Kluyveromyces lactis: one gene and its partners. The protein of the gene in region 2 purifies or fractionates together with the protein of the main gene of each other region. This does not show direct contact. Links are inferred from orthologs where the notes say so. Each region holds a gene or a part of one and is shown on either strand. Other genes may lie near its edges.

Region 1 (4,138 bases), on a different chromosome or scaffold from region 2:
GAATAAGTTTCTTCACTCCACATTATCAGTTATAGACTTCTACATGAAATTATAAAAGCGGTATTCCTTTGAAGGTTGAAGTAATCATTATTTAAGTCTATTAGTTACAAATTTGTATATTATGCTAATATAAGCGATGTAGTACTGCATCTATAATGGAAAAAATGGGAACGGTATATTGTTGTTCTGAGCTTATAGAATTGTTTTCTTCCGTTGGAAATGTTGAATCTTGATTTCACATTGTTCCCATAGTATAAACAGCGAAAGATCTTTGTAGTTGGCGACGTACACTAATCTTTTGTGCACCCACAAAACTGTCCACTGTTACTTTAATTGCTCTGTCTAAATCCCATGAGGAAACGAATTCTGATAATCTCATTTTCGCGAAGGCTTCAGCAATTCTTAAGATAGATTCCAAATGACGAACGGTGATCGGGAATGAACCAGTAGTGACACTCTCTCGTCTCAAATCAGCATAAACCCTACTCACTTTGTCCATATCCATTTGATGTAACTTAGGGTAAACTTTAGTTCTTGCGTAATGAATATACTTCATTAGCATATGCTGAGATATGGGCGAAATTTCTTCTTCTCTTTTACGAAGGTTCTGCAAGCGTCTTTGTTTGGCAGATAACGGAGTTTCTTCATCACCCTCCCCATTAGGATTTTCCGTTGGAACGTTACCATCATCAAAATCATCCAGATCCTTGTCTGGATGAGACCTGATATGTGAATCAACGACGAAAGATGCTAGCCGATTATCACTTTCTTCATCAACCAAATCTCTTACCACGCAGAGGATATCGAATCTTGACAAAATTGGTTCAGTCAAATTGACATTTTGTGATAACGGAAGAGTAGAGTTGTAACGACCACCGATCGGGTTGGCGGCAGCTAAAATAGAGCATCTGGCTTGTAACGTGGTAACGATACCTGCCTTAGAGATGGATATACTTTGCTGTTCCATTGCTTCGTGAATAGAAGTACGATCCTGATCGTTCATCTTATCGAATTCATCAATCAAACAAACACCCTTATCCGCAAGCACTAACGCACCACCTTCAAGAGTCCACTCTTTAGTTATTTGGTCCTTCCTGACAGAAGCTGTCAAACCGACTGCAGAAGCACCTTGACCTGTAGCGAAGACAGCTCTGTTGGCAGTTTTTTCCACGTATTTCAAAATTTGGGACTTGGCAGTACCTGGATCACCGAGAAGTAGAATGTTTATGTCACCACGGATGGAATGCTTACCGTTAATGTTTTTAGGAACACCTCCGAATAAAGAACATGCAATTGCTGTCTTGATATCCCTGTGCCCATAAATAGATGGAGCCATTGATGAAATGATTTTATCGATGATTCCTCTGTCACGAGACATCTTTCTGAATTCACGCTCTTCGTCTTCTGTCCAACTGAAGGCATCCAGCCCTTCGTGTTCATCACCATCATGCAATCCGCCTTCTCTTCTCTTCACTGAATTGGCTTCCAGTACTGTTGCGAAAACGGGGAACCCGTTCTTTGCATTCAAATTACCGTCATATGTGTTCTTATAGATTCCTGTCACTTCGACTTCTTCACCAGGTTTTGCGATATCAACCAAGTCCCACAACAAAATGACTTCTCTGTGACGTGGTAATCTACCGGCTGGAACAGACCCTGGTGATTCTTGGATGGTGATTCTTTGGTAATTACGGTACAGAGTTTTTTCCATATTAATTCTGAAGGGACCCTTAGATCTACAATTTGTGCAGAACGAGATTTTAATTTCTTCATTTGAATCCTGATAGTAAGGCCCAAGTGTGGCACCACATTTCAAACAGTTGAATTTAACGTATTTAAGTTGTGGGAAGACACCAGTTCTTCTTGTCACGACACCACTAACTCTAACTAAAGAATTCAAATGAGTTTCACGTAAAGCACGTAAGTTCAATATACTAGGGAAATCCGAGATTCTTACGTGAATTTCCGAGTGAATACGAGTATAATCGGGATAGTGTAGTTGTGTAGCTTCCATAGCCACTGTATCAAATATTTTCAACATTTCTTCGGGAGATTTGGCTAAAAATAGGGCTAGAATGGCCTTGGATTCTACCAAATGTCTATAATTAACTTCCAAGGATTCAGAGTTCATTTCACCGAGAGTTCTGATACGAGCACCGTAAACGGATTTACCTGACTCATCAGTATATTCAAGCAAAAACGATTTCAACTCTCTGGCAATAGTACGTGATACATTCGGTTGAGTGATCCATTCAGAATAACTTGATGCCTTCACATCTGCCAAAGATTCCAACGAGAGCTCATCTGCCAACGGATCTATATCCATATCTGATAACAAATCATCATCTGCTTCTTCGTATTGACGTCTTCTACGTCTCCTCTGTACTGGAAGACCCATAGCATCCAAATTATGCGCACCAGCTCCTTCGCCATCATCATCATCAAGGTATGCTGTGTTCCTATGCACCAAACGATCTCTCTCGTTCAATTGTGCATCGATTCTTCTACGCTCAGCGAGCGACAACTCTTGCTGCTCCTGGTCGTCGACTCCTCTTCTTTCATACGTATCATGTTCTGTGTTTGAAGCGTAATCACGGTACATATCATCACCCATCAAATCGACTTCATTCATTCTTTCTTCCACATCTTCAAGATCCTCTTGAACATTGACAGCTTCATCTCCATCGTTATCTGGATTCTCAAAATCTATCTCATCTGGAGATCCAAGCGGGTCTTCAAACTGTGGAGAACTAGGGATGTTAGCGCCACCTTCACGGGGTTGTGTAGACAAAGAATCATCCTCATCCTCATCATCATCAGCTCTTCTTCTTCTCCTCCTTCCGTTATTTATTTCATCATTATCAGACATCTTGAAACACTTTCAAAAACAGCAATTAATAATCTTCAATTATCGCACTACCAAATCCGATCACACAATTGTCTTCCTGATGCTTCGATGACCTACTTGTTACACTTTGTTTCAGACCATTGGGATCTAAAGCTATCTTAAGATCTTAACGTTTTTTCCGGCTTTTTTCTTCAGTTGAATGTACGAAAATGATCTTTAATTGAAACAATAACATTTCCTAAAATGGTGTTTTGCAACGATCTGACCATTGTAGAGCGTTGGGGCTAATAATACAGCAATGGCAATATTCCAATAACACCAATCGGTAGTTCTCACCTCTTTTAGCTTTGCAATCTACATTTGATTAGTATAATTTCTTTATTATGATGCGTGGATCACGTGATAATCACATGGGATCATACGCTTAAAAACCGTACTTATAGCTCCAATCACACGATGAAGCAACACAATTGCAGGTAAAGTATGGATGTTGAAGCTCTGGAATGATGTGATGCATTTTGTGCCCCATATTAGATCGATTTCCATCCGGTAACCGTCCAAATGTGTCGATATTGACGTAAAATCATACGGAATATTGATTCATCGACATGGAAAATCTCTTACTATCAATGAAATATCCCCAAATTTAAACATAAGGAACACGTCAAGTTAAAGGCAAAAAGGGTACCTTCATTCACGCATTTCTTACTACAAGGTGAGTTCTGGCACTTAAAGATAGTCTTGTTGGTGTTAGGGAATGAGCGAGATTAGCGTTAAAGAATATGTGAAGCGACAGGAGGAACTGGAAGATGAAGCAAATAAACTGATGCCATATGATCCAAGCCATTGCACTTATTCCATGGGCCCAATTCGACAGCCAATATTCGCATGTCGTACTTGCAACAGTATAGGAGTGTGCTATTCATGCTCTATTCAGTGTCACAGTACCTGTGACTTGGTGGAACTTTTCGATAAGAGGAATTTCAGTTGCGATTGCGGTACAGAAAGGCAGTTTGAACACGGTGAGAAGTTCACACCTTGTAATATAAGAAAGAATACTACACCAGATATACCAGACATGAGTAACAGGTATGGCCAGAATTTCAAAGGGTTATTTTGCTCTTGCCATAGAGAGTATGACCCGAATACAACGACAACGATGTTACAATGCGTCCTTGGCTTGGAGTGCAATGAGGACTGGTTTCATGATCACTGCATTCTAGGGATAGAAGAAAACCCAGACCCGGTTACAGAAGACAGAAAGCTACCAGGATTCCCTGAACTGTCAAG
Region 2 (4,226 bases):
TACGGACGAGGTTGACAAATGGAATATCGAGGAGTTTAAACCCGAGGACAACAAGTCTGGCCTTCCTTTTGCTGAAGAATCCAGTTTTATGACTCTATTTCCAAAGTACAGAGAAGCGTACTTGAAATCAGTTTGGAAAGACGTTACGAGGTCTCTCGATGCACATCATATTGCATGCGAATTGAATTTAGTTGAAGGTTCTATGACTGTAAAGACTACAAGAAAAACGTATGATCCAGCAGTAATCTTGAAGGCTCGTGATTTGATTAAACTTTTGGCCAGATCTGTGCCATTCCCACAAGCAGTGAAAATCCTAGAAGACGATGTTGCCTGTGATGTTATAAAGATTGGTAACTTTGTTTCTAATAAAGAAAGGTTCGTGAAAAGAAGGCAGAGACTAGTGGGTCCTAATGGTAACACTTTGAAAGCCTTGGAGCTTCTAACAAAATGTTATATTCTTGTCCAAGGTAATACTGTCTCAGTAATGGGACCATATAAAGGATTAAAGGAAGTACGCCGTGTCGTCGAAGATTGTATGAAAAACGTACATCCTATTTACCATATCAAAGAACTCATGATAAAGAGAGAACTTGCTAAGAAGCCTGAGTTAGCCGAGGAAGACTGGTCTAGATTTTTACCTATGTTCAAGAAGAGAAATGTTGCAAGAAAGAAACCAAAGAAGATCAAGGAGAAGAAAATATACACACCATTCCCACCTGCACAATTACCTAGAAAGGTTGATTTGGAGATTGAGTCCGGTGAGTATTTCTTGAGCAAGAGGGAGAAGGAAGTCAAAAAGTTACATGAGCGCAGGGAACAACAAGCCGCTAAACACGCTGAAAAGGAAAGCGAGAGAGCCAAGGATTTTATTGCACCAAAAGAAACCGACTACAAAAGCTCAATTTCAAAATCTACAAAGAGCTCTTTAGGAGACAGGAAAAGACAGCGTACCGATTAAAGCGCTAGTAAGTATTTTATTATATAATCGCGTTTCCATCCTTTTCTCATGACTCAAATTAAGAAATATAGTTTTAAGTTAAGTTTCAACCAGTTGCTTTGTTCAAAAATCGTCCCAGTAGACACTTTACGATTATATTTATGGACCACGTATACGCTTTTCACTAACTATCATTCATGCCAGCAACGTTCTTGCTTTTCCTTATGTCAAAACCTGCGGTGTGACAAAAATATAGTACGTACGATCAAGAAGGTTTTTTGAAAAGAAAAATGAGAAAACGCGTAAATATTTAAGGCTCGCAGCCCAATCTTATAAGCACGATAATGTTACCAGGTAAGGCATTATTATAACCGTTTTATTAAAGGAATTCAACACCTTGCAAACACTTCGGCACATTATCAAGTGCAGAATGGACCTACTAGATGATTTGAACGTTGGCATTCATAAAAAGAAAGGCAAAACATATTCTAAAGCGAACGATGCAGAAGATGAAGAGCTGAACGTGGGAGAGCACAAGTTTCTAGCAGAGAATCTGCTTGAAAGAGTCAAAAAGAGACTAAATGGAGATTCAGATGATAGCACTGCTTCGGCAATTGATAACAGTAAAAAAAGCACATTCTTCTACAGTGATACCGATTTGTATGAAGGTAAAGAGTTGGACGATGAGTTTGAGGCAATGCGTGAAACTGCTGCAGTACCAAAGCAGCGTGAAGTGGAAATCCAACAGAAAAAACATCCAATATCTCAGACACAATTAATTCCTACATTCTCTTCATCTTGGCTGGCAAAGACTCAAGTAAATACTCAGGCACTGGAGGGCACCAACAGAACCATTGATAGACAACAGCAAGATTTAGACACACAATTGAACAATGAGGAAATTACACAGACTACACCAGATGAACACACTCTTGATAAAGCTGCAACCGAAAGTAAATTGCTGCACAGTAAAGAAACTTCCTTTCGAAATACTTCGTTTACATTTAAGTTGACAACAAACAACAATGAAGGACTACTGGCAACTAAACCAAATGGAACTCAAATAGAGAATGAGCAAAAAGTGGTCGCTACTCAACTTGATGTTGCTGAAAAGGAGAAAGCCGTGCCTCTTATAAAAGATACTATAGAAGAACCACATTTACCTGTAGCACCATTAAAGGCTGTCCGAAAGAAATACCTCCCTGAACAGTTCATTGCAGCTTTTGATGATTCGGAGTCATCCAACGCAGAAGATCTTTCAGATGAGGAAAATGATGCTGATGAATTGAAAGATATGGCATCTACTCAAGAGTTAGTCACGAAACAGAAGAGTGTTGTTACTAATATGAATGGGATTATTGCCATTACTATGAAAAATAGTCCACAAAATGTTATTGAACTGAACTCTTCGTCCGAATCTGAAGATGACTATAAATCACAATCGTCCAAGGCAGCATTATTGCTGATTAAAGCTAAGAGATCCAGGAATAAGGCTACTAAAGCAAAGAACATGCATGTTTCTACAGTTGACTCTTTGAAGGAATTGTTTACATCTTTGAAAACAAAGAACAGAGACCAGATACTTGAATTTAGAAGAGAAATATCCGGTAAAAAAGGAATATCACTTGAAGCGATTGAAGATGAAAAGATTCAAGTTGAAAAGCTTCTAGAGCAAGAGCTTGAAAGGAATAGGAGAGTTAAACTAAGAGAAAAAAGAGAAAGAGAGAAATCAAAAGATACGAGTAAAGCTGCATCTTCTGGTAGCGCATCCGATGTCCCTGATAGCGATGTGATGGAGAGTGATTTAAGCTTATCAGATAGTGATGTCGAGCAGCATTTAGGGCTACACGGGTCCACTGGTTCAGACGAAGATAGCGCGGATACATCGGCAGCCCATAAAAACAACAATCCTATAATAGATGATGACGAGAGTTCTTCGTCAAGTGATGATAATGAAGTCACCCAGGAGCCGATTGGCATCAATTTAGGGCATTATGGCGATAATTTAACTTCCTCAAATGTAACGGAAAATGATGGTGCTGATCAAAGTGACAGAAATGTGCCTTCAAATTCAGAACTGAAGATGAACAGATCACATTCAGCGAAATTATTGGTGGGAGAGTTAAGTTCCGATTCCTCAGTAGACTCTGATTCCTCAGAGGACGAGCTCGACGAAGTAGAAAGGAATAGGCTTCAAGAAAGGGCTAAAATGCGCCGAAGAATGGAAATAGAGGCAGCAAAAAAGCGGAAGCAAGTACTTAAATCAACTGGTCTCAACAAAATATTGGAAATGGAAGCAGAAGAATCTGAGGATGAATGGCATGGTGTTGGTGGTGCTGACGGAGAGAATTCAGATGACTATGACTCAGATTTGGATACCATGATAGATGATTTTTCCAAAAGCAAGTTTGATACCGCTTCAATAAGAGAAAGGTTAGCCTTAGAGAACAAAGAAATGGACGAAAGGATGATAAATAAAATCTTACATGATATCAATACCGGAGGCTTTCGTAAACGTGGCCGAGGAGCACTAGATCTTGAGTTAAGCGATGATGAGGATGAGTTACTACGACAGTTTAGGGAAAAAAGAAGAGAAATAATGAAACAAAAGCTACTAGAAAATGTGGACGGTGTAGTCAATAACTCAAAATCAAAAGCCTTTTTCGATAGTATGGTGGAAGATATAACTAGAAAGTCAATCCCTGCTGTCACATCATTCAGCAATACTCGAGATGAGATGGGAAAGAAGAAAATTGTCATATCAGAAGAGTTTGTTCAGAGTTCATTATCGTTTTTAAGTGCAAAAGATGATGATATCAATGAATTTGAGGTCACTGAAGCAGCACATGATGCAACTGAGGATTTGGAATCTTTGAAACAGCGAAGCAATATTAAATCTCTCGATTCCCCTCAAAGGAATAGAAACTCCGCCTTCTTTGATGATGTGGATGGTACATCTCTGGACTTCAAATTGCCCAGCATCGTAAAGTCTTTTTCGTCAAACTCAGATGTTAATGACAAGTTCAAAACGGGGATCAAAACTGTTACTATATCTAAATCTTATAGAGTAGCCTCTGGTTCTCGATCTGCCATCACTTTCTTGGGTAAAAAGAGAAAATTGAAGGCACCCCAAGGCCGAAAATCCACACCGTTGGTACGCAAACCAACATCTAGCTTGTTTGACTCCAATTCCGATAGTTTCACCTGACCCATCCAACTAATATGTCAATTTCATTATAAAATCTCTTAAAATTACATTTGTATAATCATTATATCAGAAGTTAAATTC
Region 3 (4,193 bases), on a different chromosome or scaffold from region 2:
AGCCCGCAAATGTAAGGCAAGATGATAAGCCTGTATATATGATATAAAAATGAAATTAAGATTATACTCTCCATACTTTGCCATCCGCGACCATTAAATTGTTTCTATCGCTCATAATCCTTAGACCAGCAACGTATTCATCAACAGTGAATTTTTCCTCTTCTGGAACTTGCTCGTTAATTCTTTCGAAAAGTGCGGCGACAGGATACGATTCTTCCTCGAAAATGTCTGATTGCATGAGTCTTGCAACAATACCTGAGAGTGACGATAACCTACCGGTTGAGATTGAACCCTGGTCCATCTCTTCGATGGACATAAAATCAAGGGTCATATGAGACGGTTCCAATTGAGAGCCAGTTTCAAGGGGTCCAGTTGAGGATTGCGAGGAGTGGTGGAGAACCTGTTGTTGATGGTCGCTTTGTGAAAGTACTCTTCTTTCGACTGATAGTTGGCGTCTCGGACTCACTCTCAAGTTTTGTTCTAGTCTTCTTTGAAGGTCTTCCTCTTGTTCTGGTGCTAACCGTACCATCGTAGATTCCAGACCGTCAGCAGGATCCGGTTGAGTCTCTGCCATTTCCTGGTCCTCTTCTGCATCCTCTGAGTCAACTTCTTTGTAAACGGCCCCTCTCTTCTTCCTTGGAGAAGCTCTTGGCTTCTTTCTTGGAGATTTTTCGGTTGTTCTGCCTTCGGCAAATTCCTGTTCGTCGAAGTTGGCTCCGTCCTCACCTAGTAATGCAAATCTTAGTAATTGTGTTGCTACCTTTGCATCTTCTAGTTCTACTTTCTTTGAAAGCCTTACCTTGGCATGAGCACTGGATAATCTGATTAAAGTTTCTAGAGTTCTTGCCGTGATAGGGGATTTCTTGGTGTTCTGATCGTTTCTTAGATTTGAATATGATTTGATGATAACGTCTACAGCTTCTTGAGTCAATTGAGGAATAATTCTCTCTTTTGCATACTGAATGTATTTTCTGATGAAGGGTATCGCAACAATTTGAGGAAGCTCGCTACCATTGCTATCACCTCTGTTCTTTGCAAGCTTCGCACCGGCGTGTAGAAGTGGATTGAATTTTTCGAAAACTACGTCCTCATCATCATCTTCTTCCTCGTTTTCGATATCTTCACCAACAGCCAATGATAGATTTATTTGCTCTCTAACAGGTTCACCTTCCAAATATCCAGGAGGTAAGTACCTATGTGTTCTCAAGACATGTTCACTGATAGCTCTATCTCTGATGTCGTTGATATCATCCGTAACCACAAATAGTAAATCGAAACGAGATAATAGAGAATCCGGTAGGGCAATATTTTTATGTGGATCTTTGTTAACGTCATATTGACCGAAAACAGGGTTTGCAGCTGCGATAACTGAACAACGAGCATTCAATGTTGTATGTATACCAGCCTTTGCGATTGTTACTGTTTGTTGTTCCATAACTTCATGGATAGCAACTCTATCTACGTCGGACATCTTGTCAAACTCATCGATACAAACGATACCACGATCTGCCAACACCATCGCACCTGCTTCTAATCTTCTTTCACCAGTTTCTTTATCAGTAGTGACGGCTGCTGTCAAACCGACACCAGAGGAACCTCTACCCGTAGTGGCAATAGCTAATGCTGCTGTGTTCAACACAAATCTAAGCATTTGAGATTTAGCGGTGGATGGATCACCAACCATAAGGATATTTATGTCACCTCTTAGATGTGAACCGTTGGGTAAATTTTTTTCCACACCACCCATAAGCATTAATAGGATGGCTTTCTTAATGTGTTCATGGCCATAGATGGATGGTGCTAACGACTGGGACAAAGTGTCGAAAATATTATCATGCATTGATAGCTTATTGATATTTCTAATATCATTATCTGATAGCGTTTCAACGGCGGACACACCTGTAGACCTGGCATGTAGAGGGTACACTGTGTTACCAATTACAACAGTTCTGAAACCAGATAAAGCACCGTTACCCTTGTCGTTGTTATTAGAACCACCTGTTAGACCACCTGCACCTAATGACTTGTATACACCAACAATATTAATTCTATCACCTGGTTTTGTCTTATCCACTAAGTCATCATCCAAGATAACGTCAATGGATCTTGGTAATTGACCAGGAGGGGCCTTTTCGGGCATTTCTTGAACGGTGATTCGCTGGTGATCCATGTAATGACAAAATCCATACTCTGTGACCAGCTTATTACCTTCTTGATCCTCCTCTGGATAAATAGCTGGTGTTGGTACGGATGTGGTTAATGTTGTAGTCGCATCACGATAATCACGGTAATGATGATGGCCTGTGGTTTGGGCATAATGCACGGATCTGAGAAGTTTTGGCCTCACAAGTGAGGTTCTCGTTACAATCCCCTCTACTGAGATCAATTTATTCAAATGTGTTGAGTTTAAGGTACGTGGTGATAAAGAATTCGGACCGAAAGAACCCTTGAATGACAGTCTCCATTGTCTGCTGGGATCATTTTGGAATCCGCGAAACCCGAGAGGGCTATCATCTAAGGCCATTGCAGTCTCCGAAACAGCACGCTCCGCTGGTGGTAAAAAGAACGAGGGTACTTGTAAAAGTCCAGTCCAAAATGTTTTGTCAAATTCTCTTAAATCGTCAAGTGATACTGTTATTCTCAATGGCAATTGATTAGTGTCATGGTCCATCGTATCTTTGTCTGCAGTATTTAAATAATCATCATCCGTCTTTTTCTCTTTCACTACGTTGCTGTTAAACTCGAGTATTGATCTTATTTCTCGAGTATAATGCGAATGGGTATCCAAAAACTCTTGAAACCTTCGCATTCTGTCTGTAAAGACAGCATCACTTGTTTGATTCATAGCATCACTCATGATTGAATTCGGTACTTATGGTGTTTTTCAGTAGCAAAGTCCTTTAAACAGGGAGCGATAAATGCAATAATATTATTAAAATGAAGGTGCTAAAAATTAATGTTTCATTGGCACCAGTGCTGTTCTGGGATAGAAACGTTCTTGATATGGTTCTTCTAGTTTATTTTTGTCAGAATCGAGTTTCAGCTGTATTTTACCAACAGAATACGGCAAAGAGAAATGAGATTTGATGTTTTCGTCAATATCTTTTCCGTTTTTGGAAAAGAAAGAGGAATAATTTTCCGGGTAATGAGAAATGGCAACGCGTCAAAAAATAAAGGAAGAAGGGGTTAAAAATAACGACAACAGCAGGACTCGAACCTGCGCGGGCAGAGCCCAAAAGATTTCTAATCTTTCGCCTTAACCGCTCGGCCATGTTGCCATGTTATATGATAAAATGATGTTAGGTTCATATCACATGATCCAGAAGATGTCACTCATTATATTGTGAATTGGTAAATAATAAATACTATACCGCGCTTCACAGTGCAAGAAGAAACTACAGACCCTTGCCAACGTTCTGAACCTAGTATGGACATTAGATGGTATTAAAGAAAGTAATCTAACGAAATCATATTTGCCTACAATTGAGCTTTTGATATTGAAAGTTATCGACGATGAGCCAAAATTTGAAAAAATAAAACAAGGATGGTTTCCCAACCGTTTAGTAACTGGCAGTCTGCAAGTGCGGAAGAGTACACACACCCCATATTAACAGGGTTCAATGACAATGTAAAACGACAAACGGAAGCGTTAAAGAAGATTTAAATATATAAGAAATAGAATTAAGGATATAATGATATTTAATTGAGTGAAAAAAAAAATTACTGGAATAGAGAGAAAAAAGCTGATTTAAAAGGAGAAAGTGATAAAGAATAACGTATCTGATAGTATTTCCATCAATGACGCTTGACAAGGAAAGGAGCGATTGAGTGTTTTCCAGAAAAGAAAAAACAGTTTCTTGTTCTCCAACCAACAATTATAACTCAAAATCCATCCCATTGCTGAAAACCCACGTAAAACACCCAGAATATCATATAAGTTAATATATATAATTGGATGCTTAACAGTAGACGAAAAAAAATGGGGAATTAGATAGCGTACTAAAGAACACCGGGAGTAGCAACCAAAACCGTTCCAGGAAGGAAAACGACTTTTGTGGAAACACAGAAAGATGGACAAGTGAAAACATGCAAGGATAAAAAAGGAATCATATTTCAAGTCTTTTTCATCTCGAGTCCAATCTCACTGATAACAAAAGAAGATCCCCTGTCCCTCTCAAAACACATTAGGAGCT

The links.
Region 1: the proteins of MRC1 (region 2) and MCM2 purify together in Saccharomyces cerevisiae (affinity purification with western blotting; 4 studies listed by BioGRID, with this or other methods). This does not show direct contact. The link is inferred for Kluyveromyces lactis from reciprocal best matches to the Saccharomyces cerevisiae genes MRC1 and MCM2.
Region 3: the proteins of MRC1 (region 2) and MCM3 purify together in Saccharomyces cerevisiae (affinity purification with western blotting; 5 studies listed by BioGRID, with this or other methods). This does not show direct contact. The link is inferred for Kluyveromyces lactis from reciprocal best matches to the Saccharomyces cerevisiae genes MRC1 and MCM3.

Annotation. Positions count from the first base shown.
Region 1 is NC_006042.1:1,165,475-1,169,612, forward strand, and holds MCM2 (MCM DNA helicase complex subunit MCM2), read right to left. Parts: upstream 2,870-4,138; coding exon 236-2,869; downstream 1-235. Other genes in the region: NCL1 (tRNA (cytosine-C5-)-methyltransferase), read left to right, coding at 1-6; KLLA0_F12606g (uncharacterized protein), read left to right, coding at 3,606-4,138. UniProt on the Saccharomyces cerevisiae protein: Acts as a component of the MCM2-7 complex (MCM complex) which is the putative replicative helicase essential for 'once per cell cycle' DNA replication initiation and elongation in eukaryotic cells.
Region 2 is NC_006039.1:35,316-39,541, reverse strand, and holds MRC1 (chromatin-modulating protein MRC1), read left to right. Parts: upstream 1-1,367; coding exon 1,368-4,145; downstream 4,146-4,226. Other genes in the region: ribosome biosynthesis protein KRR1, read left to right, coding at 1-958; VAC17 (Vac17p), read right to left, coding at 4,212-4,226. UniProt on the Saccharomyces cerevisiae protein: Required for normal DNA replication. Phosphorylated in response to DNA replication stress. Phosphorylation allows it to mediate the activation of RAD53.
Region 3 is NC_006041.1:1,979,939-1,984,131, reverse strand, and holds MCM3 (MCM DNA helicase complex subunit MCM3), read right to left. Parts: upstream 2,858-4,193; coding exon 62-2,857; downstream 1-61. UniProt on the Saccharomyces cerevisiae protein: Acts as a component of the MCM2-7 complex (MCM complex) which is the putative replicative helicase essential for 'once per cell cycle' DNA replication initiation and elongation in eukaryotic cells.